Astyanax mexicanus: one gene and its partner. The protein of the gene in region 1 interacts with the protein of each later gene in a pairwise test. Links are inferred from orthologs where the notes say so. Each region holds a gene or a part of one and is shown in the gene's direction. Other genes may lie near its edges.

What was found.
Region 2: the proteins of rbfox1 (region 1) and atxn2 interact in binary tests that used the Homo sapiens proteins (3 or more experiments, as listed by UniProt). The link is inferred for Astyanax mexicanus from reciprocal best matches to the Homo sapiens genes RBFOX1 and ATXN2.

The regions. Positions count from the first base shown.
Region 1 is NC_064426.1:5,886,235-5,893,177, reverse strand, and holds the start of rbfox1 (RNA binding protein fox-1 homolog 1), read left to right. Parts: upstream 1-3,902; 5' UTR 3,903-4,458; coding exon 4,459-4,557; intron 4,558-6,943. UniProt on the Homo sapiens protein: RNA-binding protein that regulates alternative splicing events by binding to 5'-UGCAUGU-3' elements. Regulates alternative splicing of tissue-specific exons and of differentially spliced exons during erythropoiesis.
Region 2 is NC_064429.1:14,079,810-14,087,389, forward strand, and holds the start of atxn2 (ataxin-2), read left to right. Parts: upstream 1-4,560; 5' UTR 4,561-5,082; coding exon 5,083-5,186; intron 5,187-7,580. UniProt on the Homo sapiens protein: Involved in EGFR trafficking, acting as negative regulator of endocytic EGFR internalization at the plasma membrane.

The DNA.
Region 1 (6,943 bases):
CAGAGGGAAGCATGGGTATAGGGGACGAGGGAAGGCGTGGCATGTGAAGCCCGGCGCAGATGACAATTCTCGAACACGGGTCGGCGCCCGGTGCGACTATTTTTTGCAGCGGGAGGCGCAGAGGACAGGCCGGAAGAGAGACGGAGAGGAAGACAAAACGTGTCTGTAGTCAGGGAAGGGGGGGGTAGAGTTTAAAAAAATAAAGCATCCTTGCCTGAAGGCATGAAGAAGGGAGGAGAAGCAGGAGTAAAATAGAGCAAAGCGTTCTGCTGCCCTCTCTATAATGCACGCGTTCATCCTCCTCCAGCTCCGAAGAAGGCCTTTCTCTTTTTTTTAATTACGCACCCTTGTGCAACATGGAGCGCCATCGATTTTCATGACTTTGTTCTATTATAGTAACAAGCGTCTGAAGCCTTCTTACCCGAGTGCCGTCGGTTCGCGATGTCGACTCGCGTAGTAGCGCTGGGGGGCGGGAGGAAGGGGGGAGGGGGGGGGGGGGGTAGAGAGAAAAAAAACAGATAAGTAAGATTAAAGAAGGAGAACATGAATAATTCACACTCTCTTCCCCACCAAACTGTAATGTCATGTTTGCCGTTGTTGGTTAGACCTTGGATCCGCACTTGAATCAAATATCAGCCTTTTTTTTTCCCCTCCTAATACAACATGTTTTTATCACTATTAATGGATCTTCAAGGTGTTGTTGTGTGTTATAGGAGTCGGTTTAGGCAATTTTGCCTGATTTGACTCCAAACTGCTCTGGACTCTGAATGCTAACCACCGCGTGCTGCTGCAATGAATTATTTACTGCTGCGTGTGCCACCCTGCTTCAGGTGAATGGTGGGTTTTGGAAGCTGTGAATAGAGCAGGCAAAAAGAGTGTTTTTTATTTTTATTTTCCACAGGCCCCTCAGTACCTGCCTCGTTTTTCTCTGGTCAGACTGGCATTTTACGAATAAGAGGCTCTTCTCACATTTAATTAATGATGTGCCTACCCTTAAATAATGGAGTTAAAGGAGTTATTTATTATTAGAGGTTGAACACTCTTGCATGGGGCCTTCAGCTTGTCAGAAAGAAAGAATTCTAGCACTTACTGTATATTGGATCCAGGTATTGTGCTGTGAAAGTAATCTTTATGAAAGTAGTATGGAGTTAGTTGCATTCCTACATTAAAAGACCTTAAAAGAGGTTTTTACTTAGTATTGTAAGTATTGTTATTAGGCTCGTAACAACAGTGGACGCCTTGTTTTGGTGCAGTTTAGGAAAATTTCTTAAACTGTAATTTTTTTGTTTGTTGTAGCTGCAGAACAATTTAGTTCACTTATTAGACACAAGTCAATTATTGTCAAATGCAGTGGTCTAGCAGTCTTAAGCACTGCTACTATGATCGGGAGATTGCATGTTCGAATCCCGGTCATGCAGCAGTTGGAAAGTGTGGAGAAGGTGGCTGACTTCACATGTATCAGAGGGGGCATGTGCTAGTCATAACTAGTGATGCAGGATATACAGTTGGCTAGCAGCTAAATTAACATAAATTTAACGCTTATTTTATTTGTTTTTTTTTGTTTGTTTATCTGCCTTTGCTTATCAAATGTAACCCTTACTAAAACCCTCACCCACTTTAATCCCCTAAGACCCGTACTCTTGCATTGCATGCATTTTTTATTTCTTTTTGCTGTTTGGGCTAATTGGCTCCTGATTAATGGGAAAACAAAGAATTATCTTTTTACATGATGTAGTTTCTGAGAAAAAAAAAATATGGGTTACATAGGTTTATATTTTGATAGAACAAAATATTCATTTAAATTTCTGAACAAAATCCAGACTGCAACGTGTTAAAATCTACTGACAGTATAATGTCCTCATAAGAGGACACCAGGCTCTTGTAGAGCAAAATTTAGTGTTGTGGTCTAGACAACCCAAAATGTGATGTCCACACATGTGGACGCCAGGTCCTAGGAGGTTAATGAATGTGTATGTTTGTTAGTACATGCTTGAGAATCACCTTGATAGAAATGTGAGACATTTTCTAATGCTGATTACAGGATGGATTCAGGACAGGTATTCTGGGACAGTGTGTTAGGTCATACAGGACATGTATGTCATGGGCTGTGAATGACAAAGCCATTTTTAATTCAAGGTGTCTGCTAGAAATACTATATTTGTACCTCCATAATCCTGTTTTGCTCCCTATTTTTTTTTCAACTCATTTACACTAGTATACATCAGCTGAATACAAATGAGGAGTTTTTTAACATGTCCCCTCATTGCCTGAAGGCTGACAGATGGACACACTGTAAGCTTCGGTTCTATATAGTACTGAAACAGAGTTCTTTGGCATGTAAAAATAGTGGAACTCTTTTTTGTGTGTTAGAATATTTTAAAAATCACAAAGCACTGGAACACTGCACTTACTTTTTATATTGTACACCATAAACCAATCATCTCGAGTATAAAAAACCACCTGTCCCCCTTGTGCCACTTAAAGCAGCAGTTCTATGTGTTTTTCTTTTAAGCTAAAAGTATTAGTGCTGCTGAGTAGAAAGAGGACCAACTGTTCTAACTAATTTATTCTCTAAATCCACAAAACTTGACTGTCGCTTTTAAAGAGCTCTGACCTGTAAAGGCATCAACTCCACAAGACCTCTGAAGGAAATCTGTGGTATCCTCTGGTACCAAAGCCAAGAACGTTAGCAGCAGATCCCTTAAGTCCTTAGAGTTGGGAGGTGGGACCTTCACTGATCTTATCAGTGAGCCTTGGGAGCCCTTGACCCTACTCGCGGTTCACCAGTTGTTCTTTCCTGGAGCACTTTTTGTAGATATGCTTCACAAGAACACCTTGGCATACCCTGAGGTTTGGGAGATTATGTGAACCTCCAGTAATCTACCCATTAATGTTTGCTTATTGCCAAAGCATCTCTTTAGTATTATGCTGGAAAAGTGTTTAACACACCAGCGTTAATAACTGGCTTTATATATCATTGTATTAAATGAGTAATATAGGAAAAATATGAAAAAAAAAAAAACAGTAGAGTAAAGAAGGCTTTTCCCTGGTTAATGTTCATAACTTCTTCCCTCAACCATTTAACCAAGTCCAAGTCTACATCCCGCTGTAATATTTGTTTTTACTGCATTTCCCTTAACTCATTCACTCTAATAGAAATACTCAGCCTAAAATAGCTGTGTAATATTAATAATAACCAAACACCTGCCATAATAACCCAACCCAGATGGTTCGGATGAGTTGGAGCGAAAAGTGAACAAGCTTGTTTGTGTTTTGCCATTTAGCACAAGCTAACACTAATCATCAAGATGTATTTGCATAAAAGTGACAGAGCCCTTAAAGTATTAATCAGCTGAAATGAATGAATAAATAAATAAATACATAAATAAATAAATACAGCTTCAGGTCAGAAAAGACCACTTAAAAAATTTGAGTTTCTTTAATTTTACCCAGTGAAAAACCTATGGAATATAATCAAGAGGAAGGTGGATGACCACAATCCATCAAATCAAGCTGAACTGCTTGAATTTGTGCACCAGGAGTGGCATAAAGTTATCCAAAAGCAGTGTGTAAGACTGGTGGAGGAGAATGAATATAAACTTGTTTTCTTTGCATTATTCAAGGTCTTAAAGCTCATAGAAAAGCTTTTTTTGTTATTTCAGCCATTTCCATTTTCTGTAAATAAATGCTCTAAATGACAACATTTTATTTGGAATTTTGGAGAAATGTTGTCCGTAGTTTATATAATAAAACAACAATATTCACTTCAAACATAAATAAACAACCCTCCCACGGCGAGCATTACTCCGCCCCCAGCCCTTATGGCGCATCTCTGATTGGCTATCTCTCGCCGAAGTCCCGCCTCCGCCCGCCTCGAGCGTTCCATTCCACGCGGAGCTTCATACATACGCGCGCGCGAAAGTGGCGCTCTCGCGGATGAGGGAGAGCCGTTAGCGGAGCGGCGGTTAGACTCAGTCAGGCTCAGTGTGTGTTTGTATACAGTGTGTGTACAGGCTTCTCCCAGCTGCTAAAGTTCGCTTTAAACACCCGGAGACGCTAGCTTTTCACCGCTTACCGTCAGCGGGAAGCGGGTTAGTCTGTATTTAAGAGGATAACCTGCTTGTTTGAGCGCGTTTGGACCGGAACCGGTGGAAAAACAGACAGAAACTGCGAACTAAAGAGAGCAGGCTGCAGCTCCGAGCCTAGGAACCAAAAACAGAGAGATAAAAGGTTCATTCTGAGGTAAATTTCAGTAGTTTTAGGTGATATTTCTGTAATTCGGAGGTTTAAAACCCGGTTAAACCCGCTTCGTCTTTTTCAAACCGCAAAACAACCGTTGAAGACAAAGCCAGGCGCTCGAGCGCGGACCGCGAGCCGAGACACGCGCGCCTCACCGCCTCCGCCTCCTCCACCGTTCCCGCTCAGCCCGGCGGCGCTGCCTCAGCCTCCAGCCCAGCCATGCAGCATCCCCTCGCGGGCGGCCCGTGCGTCGCTCTGCCCCGGGTGGACGTGTGTCCGCAGCTCTCCTGTGCCTTGACGTTCATGTACTTACAGCAGGTGAGTGGATGGAAGGATGGGTGAGTGTGCAGAGAGAGAGAGAGAGAGAATGAGTGAAAACTGAACGGGAGTAGTGCTGCTACGATTAGTCGGCACAATCGACAGAATAATCAACTTCAAGATCAACAATATGTATAATATATATAACAATATATAGTCAATGTTGACTAATAATCGTCAGTGTATGTATACTGCACTTCACACTACACTACACTAGAGTTAAAAGCTGCTCAGCCACTCACCAATTAGTCGATTAGTCAGCATAATCGACTTTGTTGATTAGAAATATTTCAATCTTTACTAATAAACTGCTTTTTTATCCCATGCACTTTCTTTTTATAGAAAGTAACTAAACACTTCTAAAATGTTTGAATTCACTTTGAATGCTTCCTTCAAAGAGAATTTTACACAGTATTGTTTAAGTTGTTTTGCTATTTTTAGTAGTTTCTACCCTGATACTGTTAAAATAGGATGCAATAATTACATTATCAACTTATATACATGTTATATACATTACCTGCTGACCTCTATATTAGAGTATTATTAGTGTTTAATTGACAAGACATCATGTTAAAATTGTTTAGGATATTAAATATAGCATATTTTAAGTTCCAGTTCCATTGTGTAAATAATGTAAATAATAATTAAACATATTTATTCCATGCTCTTATTTTTGTAGAAAGTAACTAAACATGTCCAAAAATGTTTGACTTCACTTCCTTCCATTAAAGAGAATATTACACAATATTGTTTCTTAAGCTTTTGTTTTGCTTTTTTTTTTTTAATCTGTTACTGTTACAATAATTACATTATTGTACGTTTTTTTTTTCTAATTTATACACATTACCTCAAAATAGTCAGTTCCAGTTTCAATGTCTAAATACTCTTAATAATTCAAAGTATTTTGCTTTGAGTAAAGTAATGAGTAATGCATTATTATCCTGAAGTATTAGCATTTTATAATTGGCATTAAACCGTTCCCAAAATGAAAATAATGTCAGTATTCAATCACAGTTATTTCTTGGACAAAACATAATCTACAACTTTTTTTTTATAATGACAGGCCTAGTATTCAGGCTCAGACAGTGTACTGCAATTGCAATTCATTTTTTTAAAAATGAATAAAAAAAAAACTATATAAACAGTACTTTTATCTTTTCAGTAAGTTTGTTAGTGTTTACAATACTATATAAGATATGTTTTTACTTTTGTTTGCAATTCGTTTGCAAGATGATTCTAAAAATAAGTAATTTAACTTTACTATAAATGTGTCTGTCTCTAATAGTGTATTTAAATTGCTGTTGAAAGCAACTGTTTATAGTTTTACTGTACACTTTATTTTTTTGTGATTCAGAGCTGAGGATTGATTTAATAGCCCATTATATAAAATGGTCAAAAACTACATAAACAGTAAGTTGCCTTTTTGTAAATGTAGTTTCAGTGTAGTTAGTGTATACACTATTATGTTAAACAAATCAATCTAAACATTATTAAAATTGTAAGACATTATAGAGTGAAACTATATTGACATTTTTAATGACCAATTATGATTAAGTCAAATGCATGAACACCTAATTAAACAAAGCAGTGTAAAGTTGGTGAGACATGCTTCAGTGTGAACGATGCTTAAATTCACCATCATCATTAATGCAACCTAAAACATCACCTGATTCCTCTGATGTTGTGGTATTATGTTACCAGTGTTGTGATACTAGTAAGTTACTAACATCACTTAACACTTAATACAAGACACCTTTATTTGTGGTTTAATGTGGTTTTACATGTATATATTTATATATAATACATGTGAAACTCCTGTTTTTGTAGTATGATTGCATAGTGTAACTGTAGTTTTAACATTGTAGTTTTTAAAGTGTGTCATCATTTTATGTTGGACTGTCCAATGGAAATGCCCCAAAATGGAATTAAATATTTTGACATTGACTTCTATTGGAAGTTTAGAAGGTTGATGTAATGTAAATGCTAAGAGTCTGCCGGATTTATACACTGATCAGCTGCATAATATTAGCACCACCATTTAAGGCAGAGTCCCATGATATCTGGCGCCAAGACATACATTAGCAGCAGATGCTTACAGATAAGTCATGTAAGTTTTGGAGTGAGGCCTCCATGGGACACATCAGTGAGTCTTAGGTGTCCATAACCCTGTTGTCAGCTTACTGGTTGTCCATTCTTGGACAACTTCTAGTCGATTGAGACTAAAGGGCAGCACAATATTGGAAGATCTTTACATTGTGATATTTTGTTGTTCTGCAATATATATTGCAATATTAAAAATCTGCAATCTGTGTATCAAAGTGTATCTCATTTAAAATGAGAATGATGTGATTTTCATCTGTTTCAAACTGCAAAAAAAGTAAAAAAC
Region 2 (7,580 bases), on another chromosome or scaffold:
AACCCTCCCAGTCTGTTAGCAGAACAAGACATTACCCAAATGTCGTTTTTAGTGCAGTATATTGTTACTGTTGTGATTCATTGCTCTCATCAATTGCACTCATCACTGACCTTGCGTGTAAAGCCACTGTTGTGCCGAATTCTGCACCCCCGTCAGGAAAAGCACCACCTCTCGAGAGCGCACACCCACATCTTCTGGGCTTTAACTTTGTTGGAAATACCCAAGATACTGTTCTAAGCTATGCTGACTCGTAAAAAAATAAGGAAAGAGGCACCCCCGCCATGAAAAGCACCCTCTCTCGGCATCGCGTATGCACCGTTTTATTGAAAATAATTGCTTGAAGATAATTGCTTTAGCTAACTTTACTTAGAAACGCGCTTCGGAGAGGGAGTGATTTTCATAGCGGGGGGTGTGCTTTCTAAATAAAATTTATTTTAAAACAATTAGATTTTTTTTTAAATGAAAATACAAATACCCTTTTGACTTTTTTTCACATGTGCAAAAATATCATGAAAAAAATTCTAAATAAAATGCAGTTACTTAATTTGAAATTTAACCCTAAATGTTTGTTTTTTACACCATTTTATCCCATTAATTAATTAACTAACTAACTAACTTACATCTTACAATCGCCTAAAAGTTGATGACTGAACAGCTCCTTCCTACCTGCACTCACTCCTGAAGGCTTACGCTACCTCCCGGCCGCTGCGCTCCTCCAATGAACGTCGCCTCGCTTTACCAAACAAACTTTCACACAAAGCAATCCAGACTGTTCTCATACAGAGTTCCCCAAATGGTGGAACAAACTACCTTCCACTACCAGATCAGGAGAATCTCTCACTATCTTTAATAAACTCCTGAAGACAGAGCTCTTCAAAGAGCACTTACTCCCCTAACACCTCTAACTAACTACCTTCTACTACCAGATCAGGAGAATCTCTCGCTATCTTTAATAAACTCCTGAAGACTGAGCTCTTCAAAGAGCACTTACTCTCTTAACACCTCTAACACACTAACTACTTCTAACCTCATTTCCTTCTTCCCCTCCTTCACTCCTCTATCCCATTATTTACCTTTGACCTTCTTTAGGCCCTATTTAAAGATGTTTTTTACCTTTAACTTCTATTACTCTATGTACATCATTATTATAAGTCGCTTTGGACAAAAGCGTCTGCCAAATGTAATGTAAATACTTGCTTGCTTACTTATCCATTTATTCATCTCTATGTCCAATACAATGAGGCGTATCAGTGGGTCATAAATAAAAATATGTTTGTATGCAAGAATATGTAAAGAAGTATATTTGGCTGATTCATACATTATTGTTAGAAATTTGCCTTTTGCCGTTAGACCACTTCTGTAAGGTGATGAGGCATGAACTCTCTGGTTCTGGAGACTTTCTCCTTCCCTGCATGTTTTGGTGCTCCCTTAGTCTGAAACATCTGATTCAAAATATTAGCTTGCTATCAAAAGTCAAAATCTAAATGTAGGTTTGCTATATCCAAAGGGACACCTGAACTTCCAAATATTACATTTTTTGCTCCTAAAAGATGTAATTATTCACTCAAGCACAGGTAGTATGAGACAAAAATTCAATTAAATGAAAAAAGTTGACATTTAATTTTCATTAACACACTTGTATTTCATGGTGAAATCCAAAATTAAAAGCTGAATAGAAAAAGGAACACTTCACTTTCGCTTTATAAGCACATAATAAGTGTCAAAATGAAAATGCAATATGCACTTATCTTTTTCTTTTCAACTGTGATGAAAAATAAAGGCAAACCGTCAGGTTAGGATTCAGCTTCAAGTGGCAAAAAAAGAAATAAACTTGGAAAGCGCCACCTTGTGCTGATTTAAGCTGGGCATATGTAAATATATGTTAATTAGCAGTGGGCAGTGCCTCCTGATGCAGCATTTCATATATGGGAGTTCATGGAGTATGTGTTATTAGGAACTGCTAGCTAGTGAAATCATGATCTCTGTGGATTTGTTGTGAAATGACTGTATACTGATAGGGGATGGAGGTCTAAAACGCTTAATGTAAAAAGCCTTAACATGTTTTCTTATCACTGAAACCTCTCATAAGGAAAAAGTTTAACGTGGCTTAATATACTAAAACAACAAGTAAATAAGCAATATGTGGTGCTTTTCACTTTCATTTTTATTTTGACATTTATTATGCTACTCATAAAAAAAAACAAGCCAAAGTAAAGTTTGAGGTTTTTCTATTAACCTTTTCATTTTGGATTTGACCATGAAATACCAATATGTTCATTAATGTTAATGAAAATAAAATGTCACTAACTTTTTTATTTAATCCTCCACAGCAAAGTGTTGCCTCAGGTAACAAGCCAAACTTTTGTTTATTACACCATATCAATTACACCACCGCTTTGCCTTATTTAAATTTTTTTTAAACAATGTTGCAATACATATCTACGTCCAATACAATGAGACGTACAGGTGGGCCAAACAAAAAAAATATGTATGCAATAATTTTTTTCATTCTTGTTGTAAACTTACTTAAACAGTGTTTTTGTTGGGCAACGTTATGCAAATAGACCACTTTTATTAAATTAATCATGATAAAGCAGTGGTTCACATTTTCTCACGAAAAATGCCACCGTACATCACACAAATGCTTATTAAAAATGATACAACTTATCAGACTCGCTCCAGTGACTGGATCAAGTGGGAAAATCTGCTTTTAGCTACAGTGCAGCACCAGCGAGCTGGAATTCACTACGGGAAACACTAAAGCTTAGCTTAATGGTGTCACAAAATAATAAACTCCTATTCTGAAACCACCTTCATTTTTGTTACCTTTGATTTTCTTACCTATGATTGATAAATTCCTACTAAATTCTTATTTTTATTTTATTTGTTTTATATCTTATTTCAAAATATCTTGATTGATTATATGATTAAAAAATACAATTCATGACATAGAGGGTTACATTTTATTTTTAGCACAGACTACCCGTGCTTGAGTGAATAATTAAATTGCAAATAAGTTTTATTTAATGTTATTTTTAATTTTCACACGTTTGGACAAATGAATGTTAAAAAGAGCATTTGCATTTTATTCTTTTCAATTCTGTTTTATTTTTGGCTGGATCAATCTCCCATCGGATTGACAGTTCTGACAGTGTCAGTGAATCAGTGTCAGCGAATTGGTTTCATTAAATCAGTATCAGTGAAACGGTGTCAGTGAAACGGTGTCAGTGAGTCGGTGTCAGTGAGTCGGTGTAAGTGAAACGGTGTCAGTGAGTCGGTGTCAGTGAAACGGTGTCAGTGAGTCGGTGTCAGCGAATTGGTGTCATTAAATCGGTATCAGTGAAACGGTGTCAGTGAGTCGGTGTCAGTGAAACGGTGTCAGTGAGTCGGTGTCAGTGAAACGGTGTCAGTGAAACGGTGTCAGTGAAATGGTGTCAGTGAATCGTGTCAGCGAATTGGTGTCATTAAATCGGTATCAGTGAAACGGTGTCAGTGAATCAGTATCAGTGAATCGGTATCAGTGAAACGATGTCAGTGAGTCGGTGTCAGTGAAACGGTGTCAGTGAGTCGGTATCAGTGAGTCAGTGTCAGTGAAACGGTGTCAGCGAATTGGTGTCATTAAATCGGTATCAGTGAAACGGTGTCAGTGAATCAGTATCAGTGAATCGGTATCAGTGAAACATGTCAGTGAGTCAGTGTCAGTGAAACGGTGTCAGTGAGTCGGTGTCAGTAAATCGTATCAGTGAGTCTGTGTCAGTAAGTCGCTGTCAGTGAATCGGTATCACTGAATCGGTATCAGTGAAACGGTGTCAGTGAGTCGGTGTCAGTAAGTCGGTATCACTGAATCGGTATCAGTGAAACGGTGTCAGTGAGTCGGTGTCAGTTAGTCGGTGTCAGTGAATCGGTATCAGTGAATCGGTATCAGTGAAACGGTGTCAGTGAGTCGGTGTCAGTAAGTCTGTGTCAGTGAATCGGTGTCAGTGAGTCGGTGTCAGTGAGTCGGTGTCAGTGAATTGGTGTCAGAGAGTCGGTGTCAGTGAAACGGTGTCAGTGAGTCGGTGTCAGTAAGTCGGTGTCAGTGAATCGGTGTCAGTGAATCGGTGTCAGCGAGTCAGTGTCCCTGAATCAGTGTGAGTAAATCGGTGTCAGTGAATCGGTGTCAGTAAAAAAGGTGTTAGTGAATAGGTGTCAGTGAGTCGGTGTCAGTGAATCAGAGAAAGAGATTCGGTGTCAGTGATTGAGTGTCAGTGAATCGGTGTCAGTGAATGAGTATCAGTGAATCGGTGTCAATGAATCGGTGTCAGTGCTGTTCAGGGTCTCTCAGAAGCCGGCTGAGCTCACGTGGCTGCCTCAGCACTACTCTGCTCCGCTCCCACGGTGATCTGTTAACTTCCTGAAAATAGTGCGCCACGTTTGGTCGCACATCTATCAAAACTCGGAAAAGACAACAAAATCCCGCAAACCTGAGCACGACCTGCGGCTCAGGGGAGGGAACTGCGCTTATTTTTTAAGTGTTTCTTCAGTGTCAATCTGAATTTTAAGAGTAGATAACTGCACGGCTGGTGTGTGTGTGTGTGTGTGTGTGTATGTGTGTATCCCTCCGCTACATTTTGTGTCTTTTCAGACTGTTTAGGTCTTTGAGAGCAGCGGGGCGCCTCAGTGTCAGCCGATACTACAGCTCAGAGATACAGACTCAGAGGGGTTTACTAGCTAAGCTACATTAATTCAGAGCGCATACAGCTGGAGAAAATCAACAGCCTGCAGCAGAAGCTCTCCTTCAGACAGTGTTTCTGTTATAAGGAGGAAAAGACACGCTAGCTAAGCTAAGCTCGCTGATTTAGCTCTGGAGTAGAGGCTGTAGCTGAAGGACTCAGTGCGGCTAGGCTAGGCTAGTTAGCTAGTAGGCTAACATTAGCTGTCATTCGTTAGCTAAGCTAGTTAGCCGTTAGCTCCTCTGTCAATAAGTCAGGCAGGATTTCAGCGTGTCGTGCTCTGCTGTTGTCGGCAGCGCGTAGGACAGATTTCCCTCCAAACACTTAAAGCTAGAAAACTCCGCTTAAAGCTGTCGTTTATGGGATAACCATGTCAATGAAGCAGGCCGGTGGTAATCGCAAACCCGGCGGGATCAACAGCGGGGCTGCTGCGGCCTCCGGAGCTGCGGGCTTCGGACGGCAGAGTTTGGGAAGGTGGGTGACAGCCTGCGTTTCTGTGTGACAGTTCTGAATACATGAACACCGCGACCCTCACACACACTTACAGCCCTCAGCGTGGTGTTAAAACACTGCAGCCCGCGGTACTCCGCTGTTCAGCGGCCGAGAAAGCGCTGTTAGCGGGCTAGCTTAGCTGCTGGTAGTGGGGTTATAGGCCGGAGTGAGCCAGGCACGGGCAGGACAGAGAGGTGTTTATTAGGCCGGGTTTAGACAGCGGGACGGGGGTTCACACACTCGCCTACTAAAATGTGCTGCACCCACTGTAGTTAGCTGTACACATCCATCCAATTAACTAACTAACTAACTAGCCACTGAAATAATCTGCCACCTAATTATTATTCATTATTAATTCAACTGCATAGCCGTTATTGAGATTTCATTTCAATATTTGTAGATACGGTCTGTGTTTTGTTTTCATTCTCCTTCACATAACTTCTGTTAAATCTACTATTACCTCTAGATAATGATTTGGTATCTCACAAACTGATTTAGAACCTTAACAAAATGGTTTAGTATCTTTAAGTAATTATTTAGTATCTCAAAATAATGATTTAGTATCTCCTAGTAATTATTTAGTATCACAAATAATGATTTAGTTGTTTTTTAATTAGATCATCTGAAAAACGACTTAGTCTGTTAAAATAATTATTTGGTATCTCATAATGAAAAAGCTTCTCGCAAAAACAACATAGTGTCTCAATAAGATCGCATAACAGAAATATGAATTAGTATCTCAAAAATATGAGAGCATCTAAAAACGACTTAGTGTCTCATAATAATGAGGAAGAATCTAAAATAATGATTTAGTATATCAAATAAGGTTTTTATAAACATAAAAAAATGATGTATCTCAAAGTAATGAGACTCGATCACATTATAATTTGAATTACATTTTGTAGTAATAAATTGTACTTATAGATGTTTTGTAGATATCGGCAATTGAAATATTTACTAGTAAAAATGTAGTAATGGATAAGAGGGAGTGAGATTACATGTAAATCAAGTGTAGTATATGACTAGTCAAAATAAAGTAAATGTCATTTTGGTAACATGACTAAACCTTTGAGTTTGCGTTTGAATTTGGTGTGATTTTAAGCTAAAATGGCTTGCTGTAGTTTATTGTCTGGTACAGTGTAGATGTTGCTTGTTCTGTGGCTGGGTAATTTGTACAGGGTTCTGCTTTGCTGCAGGTTCGGCAGGCATGGATTTTAAGTTTGATGAAAAAAAGTGTCAAGTCAGCGCAGTGTGTCTGTGAGCTAATGGCTTTTCTTGCCACATTCCATGTGAACAAGCTTCATGTCAGTAGGTGCAGCTGGTAAATACAGTTGTCATTTTTGTAATTGATTTAAATCCTTTTGTTTTCTTTTCTGCTTTATGAAAATTTATTATGTGTCCCTCAACATCTATTTTTGATGAGGATAACACTGATTGATTTGTTTTTAAACTTAGGAGACCTATCAGGATGTAAATCTTGCCTAATAAGCACATGAGAAGACCAATCAGGATGCTCTCACAGTCAGGCTCATCTGTCATTTATTTGATTGCTCCAAGAGTGCTCCAAGATTTGTGAACGTCATAGATCTAATACAAGTATGCATATGCTAGTCCCAGGATATGTGGGGTGCCTGTTAGTATAATATTAGTTAATAACATAAGTAAACTAATACAGATCAGAAGGTATCTGACTATGTTATGATTTACTAAACCATTGTGTTGTTTTGGCCTAGCAATTTGTGTGTGTGTGTATGATGAGAACCTTGCAGCACCTTCAGGATTCACAGTTAACCAGAATGATATATAACGTAACCTTTTATTAAAGTTTTTTTTGGTTAAAATCTTCATGTAATGGGTTAAAGTCCTCTCTATATAATAAGTGACACTTCACTGTGGGGCACTGTGTATATGGCTACATAACCCTTAACTCATTCCTTATTAAGGAATGAAGGGTGCAGAATGCAACTTTCAGCATTTTCTGTGACTCCTCTGCTGAAATACCTATCAAGTGCTTTTGAGGTAACACTGACATGAAAAAGTTTACTTGTGTCTCTGTGTAAAGGTTTAAAAATACTAATTTGTGCCTAATTTATTAATTTGGGAATTAGTAATGTAAAAATCTCCCTTTATCGAAGTGTTAAGAGAAGTGCTAATAATTTACCATAAGTACCATAAGTTACCATGTAGTTTAAAAATGATTCTTGTCACAGTAATATGGTAATTTAAATATTTAATTTCTAAATCATAAATTTAAATGTTCATTTGTTTGAAGGTGGTAACTGAGTAAGACAGTTGCACTGTTGGTGGTATTCAGAAACTCAGAAATCTGCAGTGGTTTATGTGTTTTTTAAGATGATGAAAATTATTTGCAATGCT